Linked DNA regions of Oryctolagus cuniculus. The protein of the gene in region 3 interacts with the protein of the main gene of each other region in a pairwise test. Links are inferred from orthologs where the notes say so. Each region holds a gene or a part of one and is shown on either strand. Other genes may lie near its edges. The genes, in order: CINP, ACCS and FBF1.

What was found.
Region 1: the proteins of FBF1 (region 3) and CINP interact in binary tests that used the Homo sapiens proteins (3 or more experiments, as listed by UniProt). The two-hybrid records come from large-scale screens. The link is inferred for Oryctolagus cuniculus from reciprocal best matches to the Homo sapiens genes FBF1 and CINP.
Region 2: the proteins of FBF1 (region 3) and ACCS interact in a two-hybrid assay, tested with the Homo sapiens proteins (2 studies listed by BioGRID and IntAct). The two-hybrid records come from large-scale screens. The link is inferred for Oryctolagus cuniculus from reciprocal best matches to the Homo sapiens genes FBF1 and ACCS.

What each region holds. Positions count from the first base shown.
Region 1 is NC_091451.1:45,546,892-45,550,537, forward strand, and holds part of CINP (cyclin-dependent kinase 2-interacting protein), read right to left. Parts: intron 1,810-3,646; coding exon 1,680-1,809; intron 1-1,679. UniProt on the Homo sapiens protein: Component of the DNA replication complex, which interacts with two kinases, CDK2 and CDC7, thereby providing a functional and physical link between CDK2 and CDC7 during firing of the origins of replication.
Region 2 is NC_091432.1:21,568,800-21,572,445, forward strand, and holds part of ACCS (1-aminocyclopropane-1-carboxylate synthase-like protein 1), read right to left. Parts: intron 3,133-3,646; coding exon 3,087-3,132; intron 3,004-3,086; coding exon 2,862-3,003; intron 102-2,861; coding exon 1-101. UniProt on the Homo sapiens protein: Does not catalyze the synthesis of 1-aminocyclopropane-1-carboxylate but is capable of catalyzing the deamination of L-vinylglycine.
Region 3 is NC_091448.1:4,735,245-4,738,890, reverse strand, and holds part of FBF1 (fas-binding factor 1), read right to left. Parts: intron 3,565-3,646; coding exon 3,537-3,564; intron 3,296-3,536; exon of another isoform or gene 3,169-3,295; intron 2,371-3,168; coding exon 2,329-2,370; intron 835-2,328; coding exon 744-834; intron 185-743; coding exon 121-184; intron 115-120; exon of another isoform or gene 1-114. UniProt on the Homo sapiens protein: Keratin-binding protein required for epithelial cell polarization. Involved in apical junction complex (AJC) assembly via its interaction with PARD3. Required for ciliogenesis.

The DNA.
Region 1 (3,646 bases), on a different chromosome or scaffold from region 3:
GACAGAGAGACAGAGAGAAAGGTCTTCCTTTTTTCCGTTGGTTCACCCCCCCAATGGAGCGCACTGTGACTGGCGCACCGTGCTGATCCGCAGCTAGGAACCAGGTGCTTCTCCTGGTCTCCCATGTGGGTGCAGGGCCCAAGCACCTAGGCCATCCTCCACTGCACTCCCAGGCCACAGCAGAGAGCTGGACTGGAAGAGGAGCAACCGGGACAGAATCTGGCGCCCTGACCGGGACTAGGACTAGAACCCGGTGTGCGGTGTGCCGGTGCCACAGGCGGAGGATTAGCCTATTGAAACATGGCGCCAGCCCCTCAATTTACTTTTTAAAATTTTTTTGAGTTGAATAAATTTTATTCATGTATCTCAACAGACTCTCTGATCTTTTTACTAGTTCCTAATCAGTTTTTTCAACTTTTATTTAATAAATATAAATTTCCAAAATACAGCTTTTGAATTATAGCGGCTTTTCCCCCCATAACCTCCCTCCCACCCGCAACCATCCCATCTCCCACTTCCTCTCCCATCCCATTCTTCATCACGATTCATTTTCAATTATCTTTATATAGAAGATCAACTTAGTATATACTACGTAAAGATTTCAACAGACTGCACCCACAAAGACACACAAAGTATAGAGTACTGTTTGAGTAGTAGTTTTTTACCATTAATTTGCATAGTACAACACATTAAGGACAGAGATCCTACATGTGGAGCAGGTGCACAGTGACTCCCGTTGTTGATTTAACAATTGACACTCTTATTTATGACGTCAGTGATCACCCAAGGCTCTTGTCATGAGCTGCCAAGGCTAAGGAAGCCTCTTGAGTTCACCAACTCCAATCTTATTTAGACAAGGCCATAGTCAAAGTGGAAGTTCTCTCCTCCCTTCAGAGAAAGGTGCTGCCTTCTTTGATGGCCCCTTCTTTCTGCTGGGATCTCACTCACAGAGATCTTTCATTTAGTTTTTTTTTTTTGCCACAGTGTCTTGGCTTTCCATGCCTGCGAAACTCTTATGGGCTTTTTAGTCAGATCCAAATGCCTTAAGGGCTGATTCTGAGGCCAGAGTGCTCTTTAGGACATTTGCCATTCTATGAGTCTGCTGTGGATCCTGCTTCTTATGTAGGATCATTCTCTCCTTTTTAATTCTATCAATTATTATTTGCAGACATTGGAATGACCTCAATTTATTTTGTAACTAAAACAAAAAGGAGGCCAGCATGTGCAGTAATGAGTAAAGCAGCTGCCTGCGAGGCCGGCATCCCACATGGGCGATGGTTTGAGTCCCCGCTGCTGCACTACTGACCCAGCTCCCTGCTCATGCACCTGGGAAAGCAGCAGCAGATGGCCCAAGTCTGTGAGCTCCTGCACCCATGTGGGAGATCTGAAGAAGCTCCTGGCTCCTGGCTTTGCATCGGTCCAACTCCAGTTGTTGTGGCCATTTGGGGAGTGAACCAGCAAATGGAAGCCTTCTCTCTGCCTCTGCCTCTAATTCTGCCTTTCAAATCAATCAATCAATCTTTAAAAAAGAAAAGACACCCCTGTTGCCTTTCCTCCTGAAGGATCCTTGTACTGAACTTCAAAGCCTCGTCAGCTTTTTCATGTACTGAATCAAATGATGCTAAACATTCTTTATAACCTCTGCCTTCCGAAAAACCAACTCAGAAAGAACAACTTACAGAAATGGGCTGTGGGCCACGTGTGAAACATAGGGGGCCGTTGACTCTGCTCCCCATAATGGTAATTTTCTAGTTCACAAATTCCCTTGGTAGTTGAAGACAGCTTTTCCATCTTCACCTGTATTTTGGTCTGAAAAGATATTAGTTTGGAATATAAGAATATAATTTGAACTCTCCAGTCTCAAATTCAATAACCGTAAGTTTTCAAAGCAAAGAAGTCTTAGTCTATTGAGATCAAAATGCCAATAAGTAAATACCATTAACTCCATGGAGGATAAATTTCCAGGGAGTTAGAAGGAAGATCGTTATGATTTCATTAATTTGGATTACGTGGGTAATAAACTCCAGATTTCCAGTCCTGAAAAAGAGAAATTTTCCCAGCCCCACTTCACTGAGGTTTCCGGGGGCCAGGGTTGTGGCCTGCAATGCCACTTGCACCACGAGCTTCCTACACTGGAGCACTGGTTCAAGTCCCAGCTACTCCATGTCCAATCCAGCTCCCTGCTCATGTGCCTGGGAGGGTAGTGCTTGGGCTCCTGCACCCAAGTAGGAGACCCGCTTTGGGGTCTGGGCTCCTGGCTTTGGCCTGGACCAGCCTTGGCCACTGCATCCACCTGGGGAGGGAACCAACAGATGTAAGATCATGCTCTCTCTCTCCCCCTCTGCTGATGCTCTGCCTTTCAAATAAATAGATCTTCACACACACACACACACACACACACACACGAAATCTCTGAACAGCACTGATGTTTCAGTCCCAAAGATCTGGAGGAATCCTGAGGTCAGCTCTTGCTGCTTTTATGGAATGAAAGACAGGAGAAAAGGCATTAAATGGGCTCATTTCTGACTGAAACTCATTTACCAGAGGAAAGATGAAGAAGATGATGACAGCTGCCCTTGGTCCTGAGCCTAGGCCACTGCAGGACGTGTGCCACCACCCCCACTGCACACATAGGCACACAGGACCGTGAAATCCCTGCCTTCCCAGGGCGCCAACAGCAGTCAGTGTCCACGAGCACAGAGGCGACGTGGAGGCAGGTAAGGATCTGTTACATGAAGTGATGGTAAAGGGGCTGGGACTTCAGACTTAAGCAGCACAGGTCTGTGATGTCTGAATCCCAAACTCCTGAGCAGACTGACTTTAGGTGAGGAAGGAAAGAAACGTAAACCATCAGAATCTTAATCCTTGCACTTGGTCCTTGCAGCCACTCTCCAACCGCACAGGAAGTGGAAGGCTCTAAATTTAGCTAGCATTGATTTTTAAGGGACTTCACTCCCTTCCAAAATCTTTTTAGGCTCAATATTTCTTTGGTCCAACCCCACGAGGAAGGACTCAGCATTTCCATTTTACAGCAAGGCGAATCGCTCAAGGGTGAGCGAGGGAGGAGGCTGTGCCTTGCTCTGCTGCCACCTGGTTCTAGGAAAAGCTGAAGAAGAGCGGGCGCTCCAGGGGAATCCCGGCCCTCCAGCTCTGTAGGTGGCCAGCAATGGACACCCAGCTGCATGGGCGTGTGCTGACCCGGACTGAGAGCACGGACAGCGCCCACACTGCCACTTTGACCTTGGCAGTCCCCTCCTACAGCCAACACAGACTGCACTGAGAAATGTCAGTTCACCTTAAGGGAAGAGGGCATGAAACTCAGAGAAGTCAAATTTATTACAGACACCTACTTAAAGCTAAGACTGGAAAGCCATTTTCTCTAAAGGCTGCAGGAAAATAGGAAAACTAATCTTAATACCTTTGCATATCAACTTCTGTTTTATTTATTTACATTTCATTTCAAAGGCAGAGAGACAAGAGGTATACTATCTACTAGTTCACTCCCCAAATGCCCGCAGTGGCCAGGGCCAAGCCAGGCTGAAGCCGGGAGCAGGGAACGCAGTCCAGGTCCCAGATGTCGGCAGCAGGCACCCCAGCAACAGCTGCTGCAGCCCAGGTGTGCATTAGCAGGCAGCTGGACTGGAAC
Region 2 (3,646 bases), on a different chromosome or scaffold from region 3:
CAGGAAGGGGATCCCCAGGGCGCGCAGCTCCTCAGAGACGTAGGTGTGGGCAGCCTTGAGCCGGGCGTGGTTTTCCGGTAGGTACACCTGGCTGATCCAGTCTGTTGTGGGTGAAAGGGGAGTCAAAGATCAACGTCCCATCAACCCTCCACTCTACCCCGCTGGTCTAAAGGCTGGAAAGAAAAAGTCCACCAGGGCTGGCGCTATGGCATAGTGGGTAAAGCCGCTGCCTGCAGTGCCAGCATCCCATATGGGCACCAGTTCGAGTCCTGGCTGCTCCACTTCTGGTCCAGCTCTCTGTTGTGGCCTGGGAAAGCACTAGAAGATGGCCCAAGTCCTTGGGCCCCTGCACCTGCATGGGGGACCCCGAAGAAGCTCCTGGCTCCTGGCTTCGGATCAGCACAGCTCCGGCCGTTGCGGCCAACTGGGGAGTGAACCAGCAGATGGAAGACCTCTCTCTCTCTCTCTCTCTCTCTCTCTGCCTCTCCTTCTTTCTGTAACTCTTTCAAGTAAATAAATAAATCTGAAAAAGAAAGAAAAGAAAAAGGCCACCAGCCGCCCGTGCCAAGTGCCCCAAGTGACTGTGCCAAGTGCCCCTCCGTCTGGCCGTGGGGTAGGCGGGACACGGACTGCAAATCCAGACTCCGCCCTGACAGCGCCAGGTCCTGCACTCCATTCTGCAGCTGAGAATGACAAGTTTCTCAGGACGCAGAACCCAAGCCAGAGGTTCATCTGGTTAGAAAGTGGTGGTGCTGGCACACCGGGTTCTAGTCCCGGTCGGGGCGCTGGATTCTGTCCCGGTGGCTCCTCTTCCAGTCCAGCTCTCTGCTGTGGCCAGGGAGTGCAGTGGAGGATGGCCCAAGTCCTTGGGCCCTGCACCCACATGGGAGACCAGAAGTACCTCACTCCTGGCTTCGGATCAGCATGGTGCACCGGCTGTAGCATGCCGGCCGCAGTGGCCACTGGAGGGTGAACCAACAGTAAAGGAAGACCTTTCTCTCTGTCTCTCTCTCTCACTGTCCACTCTGCCTGTCAAAACAAAACAAAACAAAAGATGCCACTTGGGACGCCCACATCCCTTATCAAAGTGCCTGGGTTCACGTCCAGGCTCCATCTTGACTTCTGCTCACGAACACCCAGCAAGGGAGAAGGTGACGGCTCCAATACTTGGGTCTCTGCCACCTGTGGGCAACACCTGGATTTAGTCACTGGCTCCTGGCTTTAGCCTGGTCTAGCCCCAGCTGTTGTAGGCATTTGGGGAGTGAACCAGCAAACAGGAGACCCCTCTCTCCCTCTTTTTCTGTCTCTCCTCTGCCTTTCAAATAAATAAATAAATATTTTAAAATCATGCTTTCACATCACACAGCCCAAAGCTCAGGCCCATCAGTGGAGCCCAGGGTAACTGCACCTGGCTGATCCTCATTTGTATTTAAGCTTCATTGTGTGAAGTCCTATGAATTTAAATGCACGTATAGATTTGTGTAGCCCCCACCAGAGTCGGATTCAGAACAGTCCCATCTTCCCAAAGAGGACCCTCATGCTGTGTCGAGTCACCTCCGCTTCTTGGCCATGAATCACTCATCTGTTACATAGAACTTTCCAGAATGTCACAGAAGTAGAATCCTCCAGCACGCCATCTTCTGGGGCTAGCTTCTTTCCCTCAGCCCGATGCCTTTGAAGAGCGGCCTGTGTTGCCATGAGTTTTACTGTAGAACAGTGCTCCACTGTGTGGACGTGCCACAGCCCACGGCTCCAGCCATCTCTGCAGGGCATCTGGGTTGATTCCCACGATAGGCAGCTATGACTAGAGCAGCTACACATTCACGAGATGTGTGGGGCCGTCAGCGCTGAGGCACCTGTGTGTGGCCTAAAGATCAGGACACACCCTGAGAAATGCGTCACTGGGCGATTGGAGCGCTGTGTGAACGCTGCAGAGTGTCCTGCCACAACACTAGGATGGCTATGACGTCACCAGGGGATAACATCTCACGGGACTGCTGTCGTACGTGAGGTCCGTCACTGACCAACTTGTCGACGTGCAGAGCGTGGTATTAGGATAGCCGGGTCATTCCGTCAGGGTGGGTTTAGCTTTCTGAGACGTTGCCGACTTGTGTTCCAGAGTGGATGAACCACTGACACTTCCACCAGCCATGGGTGAGAGTCCGAGCCGCACCCGTGTCAATGCTGGGTGTCCCTGTGTCTTTAAATCTTAGCTGTTGACAGCAGGTGTGTGGTCTCTGAGACTCATTTCCATCATCTTATATAAGGGGAGTGATAGGGCAAACAGGGCTTCTTGCTGCCTGGGATTCCGGAGAGGGACAAGTGAGATGATACAGCACGGGTGTTTGCAGGGCTCAAGGCATGGAGGCAATTAACGGCAAGCTATCCACGCTCACTATGTGAACTTGGAAACAGAATAGATTTGGGGAGAGGGGGAGAGAGGGAGAGGGGGAGGGGGGAGAGGGAAAGGAAGAGGGGGGGGAGGGAGAGAGAGAGAGAGAGAGAGACTTCCATCGTAACAATCTTCTCTAAGCAGCTTCTGCTGTCTTTTAAGTGGTGTTCACGACTAATAACAGTGAGCTCACACCAATGAAGCCCCTGTTACAGGCCAGGTTCAGTGCTGAGTTACCAAGCACACCAACCCCACAGGGCAGGTCCCATTAGGACCCCTGCTGGGGCGTTGTACGGGAAGCAAGGTGATGCACGCTGGGAAGTGATAGGGTAGGCGAGGCTCAGTCCGGGCAGCCCAGCTGGCCCTCTCAATCCCTGCTCTCAGTTCCTCTCTGGGCTGAGCGTCCACGACCCCAGACTCACTGCCGCCCTCCCTCCCCATTCCCAGGTCACCAGGCCCAGGCAGTCACCGTGGTCTCGTAGCAGCTGTGCCATCTGGTGCTGGGCTATGCCACTAAGGCCATAATAGCGGCAGAGTGAAGCCACCGCAGTGGCCACGTCCTGGTTTTCTGTGTACAGCACGCCGAAGCGGAGCCCAGACATCCCGAAGTCCTGGAAGAACGGGCACTTTAGTCCACGGCCAGCCCTCTCCTCCCACCTCCCTGCCCGCCCCCCACGGCTAGCCAGGACCTCACCTTGCTGGTGGACCACATCACGTGGGTCCTCTGGGGGTCTGGCAGCCTGCAGAGAGCACAGCGTGGGAATAGGGCCCAGCAGAGCAGCAGGGCAGCCCACGCGTGTTTGCTTGCACAGATGAGGAGACGGAGGGACGGATCTGGCTCTGGGCCCCAGGCCAAGCCCTGGGGTCATCTCTTTGAACCACCAACTCCCAGGCATCCTTTGGAGCAGGGCTTGACAAAGCACAACCCATAGGCTCAAACCAGCCTGCGGCTTGTTTTTGTAAATAAAGTTTTATCAGAGCACAGTGATTATGCTCATCCCTTCACACAGTGACTATGCAGCAGGGGCGAGTGAAAGAGCAAACAGCAAATGGCCTAGGAGTCTAAAATACTTCCCACCTGGCCCTTTGTGGGAAAAGCTGGCTGTGTCCTGATTCGCAGCATAGCTCAAGTGTCACATCCTCAAAAGGCGCCCTTGACCTTGCCCACCAGCCAGGTGAGCTGGGTACCCTCTGCAGCACTCTCCCAGACTGCATTTCAACGCTCCTCATGGCCAGGAACAAATGACCAGCTGT
Region 3 (3,646 bases):
CTTGTTGACCTCTAGGCTTCAGCTCCTCTGTGAGTGGCCACACCCTTGGTGGCCACACCGACGCCACTGCTCCTCGGTATAAACCAGCAGGCTGCGGACCGGAGAACGGGCCAGGCTCACCTCGGCGTCAGCTTCTGCCAGGACTTCCCTGGGGCCGAAGACGTCGTCGTCTCCCAGGAGGGACCTGCAAAAGCGTGGCAGCGGTGCTGGGCGCCAGATGACTCTAGGGAGGAGTGGCCCAGAGTACAGGTGGACCTGCACAAGGCCCTTGGGGAGGACAGAGCAGCTGAAGTGAATGTCACAGGCCGCCATGCAGGGACTGCCAACGTCTTAGAGTAATGCAGCCCCTTTAAAAACAGCTACAAACGAACTGCTCCAGCCACAACGCAGGGGGAGGGTGGAGCGGTCACAGAGCCCCTCCGTGTGTCCCACTGTCAGGAGAGACCCCCAAGAACGCACACAATTGGAAAATCACCCACCCAGGCCGAGCCTCTTGAGGACAAGGAACCGAGGCCCAGGAATGGCCAAGGCCACATCTGAGTGACAGCCCTAGGACCAGGAGCCAGGGCTTTGACCTCCGGTTCGTATCTGTATCTATTTCCCCAGACTTGTTCAGTACCAGGGCAGGGGTGCGGGAAGGGGGTGGAAACCACTGACATTCAATGGCACAGCCAAGCGGGACGCCAAGAGCACGGGGGCTGGGAGGGTCACAGGTGCCCCAGCCCGTCGGATCCGGTGCTTACTTTGCTCCGGTCTTGGAGGGGAGCCCCCGAGATGCACCCACGGTGTCTCCGGCACGCGAAGCTCGATTAACAGGCGTCTCAGGAAGCATCTCTGGCAAAAAAAAAAAAAAAAAGACAACAGAAATGCCGTGACGCCGTGATGCTGTGGCTCTGCTGGGGAGGACGGCGAGTCCCCACCAGCTGTCTCCAACCTGAATCAGGTGGCGGTAGATCTGCAAAGCGGAATTCAACCCTCAGTGCCAACCAGAGGCAAAGGAGGAGCCCAACCCACCCACAGCCCATGCACACGCAGCGGGCCGAGGGCAGGCCGGGGCACAAGGGCTTTGTGGGTTCTCTTGGCCATGTCGGGGAAACCGAGTCCTCCCGTCCCTGAGGGAGACTGTGTGGTCCTGTTGCAGACACGGGCGTCCTCTGCTCACAGCCAGCGAGGGCAGCAGAGCCTGGGCCCCTGCACCCGTGAGGGAGACCAGGATGGAGCTCCTGGCTCCTGGCTTCAGCCTGGCCCAGACCCGGCTGTCGCAGGCCTTGGGGGAGTGAACCAGTGGACAGAGAAGCTCCCTCTGTCTCCCTACCTTCCTTTCTCTGTCACTCTGTCTTCCAAATAAATAAATCTTACAAAAAGACGGAAAATAAGCATTGGCGCGGATGTGGAAACACTGGGATTCTCTGGCATCGCTGGGGGAATGGAAGGTGGCACGGCTGGTGTGAGAAAGCGTGGCAGCTCCTCACAGTGTCAGACAGAGCCGCCACGTGAGCCGGCAGCTCCTCGGTCCATGCAGAAGGCGCCCGTCTACACAGACCTGTGCACGGATGTGCACAACAGCATTGCTCCTCAGGGCCAAAATGCGGAGGCAGCTCAGATAAACACCCGCCAGCTGATGAATGGGTGAACAAAACGGCCCATCCGCACAAGGGGTATTATCCAGCTAAATGGGTACATGCCACAGGGCACCGAGTGAAAGCCAGACGGAAGGGAGGCCAGCTGGGGCAGGAGACCATCTCCTGTCGAATTCCGGGACAGGCAAATCCACAGAGTAAGTGGTTGCCTGCATGCTGGCAGGGGGGAGGGCGACTGCCTGGTCATGGGGACGGGCCTCTCACAGGTGAAGACAATGCCCTGGAGCTCGGCGGGGGTGACCGCTGAACAACCTTATGAATATTCTAAAAGCCCCCGCATGGCACACTAAGAGTGAATTTCATAGTATGTGAATTACACGTCAATTAAAACAAAGCCAAACCTGGGGGCCAACGTCACAGCACAGCAGGCTAAGTGGCTGCTTGCAATGGTTGGAGCGCTGCTCTGCTTCCCATCCAGCTCCCTGCTGTGGCCTGGGAAGGCAGCAGAAGACGGCCCAAGTGCTTGGGCCCCTGCACCCGTGTGGGAGACCCGGATGGAACTCCTGGCTCTGCCCTGGCCCACCGCTGGCTTTCACAGCCACCTGGGGAGTGAACCGGAAGGTGGGAGATCTGTCTCCGACTCTCCTTCCCTCTGCTGTTCTGCCTTTCAAATACATAAATAAATACACCTTTTCAAGAAAAATAAAACAATATAAAACCCAGGGAACTGTGGGGGAGGGGCACTTACTGTCATCCCCCAGAAGGTCACTGAGGACATCATCAATGGAGCCTGGAACAGAAGGGGGGACACGGTAACTTCAGGAGGAAGAAAAGTGACCCTGAACACATCCCAGCCCCGGATCAACCCCAGGGCCTCAGCCGCCGCAGATGCGGGAACTCAGGCCAAGCTCTCCCTCTGCTGGCCGCAGACGCGGGGCCTTGTGGAAACACCTGAGGCAGACATCTGAAGTGACCTTCTCAAAGAACTACGACAGGACGGGTTTCCTTTCTGCCTGCCTCCCCCGACAGACTTGCACAGAATCAGCCCTTCAGACTCAACGAAGCCCGTGTGGTTGTTTGGGAAGAGCATCCAAGATCTCTTTCATGCCGCGGCCTCCCTGCACCCTTCCGGCTGAGCCCCCGGTCTAAGCGCTGCCCCCCACCCCCGCCATGAAGGAGGCGCAGCCCTAAGCACAGAGCCGAGTCAGTCCTCCCGTCCAGCCTCAGCATCTGCACTGCCCTGCATCCCAACCACGTACAAGCCCAGTGCGGACTTTTTTTCTAAAACCCCACCTCATTTATTTCTCAATTCTTCTGCAGGACCAATGAGGTGGCATATGGGGGGACCCTAGGAAGGTCAAGGCTGCCTGGGGAATTATGGGAAAAACAGCAAGACTTGTACCCAGCACTTTAAACACAGACATGGATAAACTGCTTTTGGACCCAATGTGTAGGGGGGTGAACACATGTGAAGGTACTTCAGAAAGGTTGTGGAGGAGGCCTTTGCCACTCGGGCACCCCCTCCCACACTGGGGTGTCTGGGGTTGACTTCCTCCTCTGCTTCCAGTCCAGCTTCCTGCGAGCGCACCTGGGAGGCAGCAGGTGATGGTCCAAGTCCGTGGGTCCCCGCCTCCTCCCTCCAGCCCCACTGTGAGACAGGGATGGAGCTCCTGGCTCCGGCTTCAGCCTGGCCCAGCCCTTACTGTTGGGGGCACCTGCGGAGTGAAGCGGGGGATGGAAGATGGGGCGCCCTTCTATCCTGACCCCGTGTCACTCTGCCTTTCAAACAAATCTTCTAAAAAAGTTTGTGGAAAGTGGAATTTATTAAAACATAAGCTTATGTTGGTGCAAAGAATCCTGGAGTCCATGCATAGTTTTTTGTAAGCACCCCCCATGCACTTCTTGAAGAACCTTCATCGTATTTGGTTAAGGCTGCTTTTCCCTCCTTCCACTTACCTTTCAATCCTTTCTTGGCTTTTGGTGCCTAAAATGGGACAAGCAAATCACATTAACAAATTCAAACAGGGAACACGTGTTCAAACTGGAAATGTGCAGTGCGTGGTTCT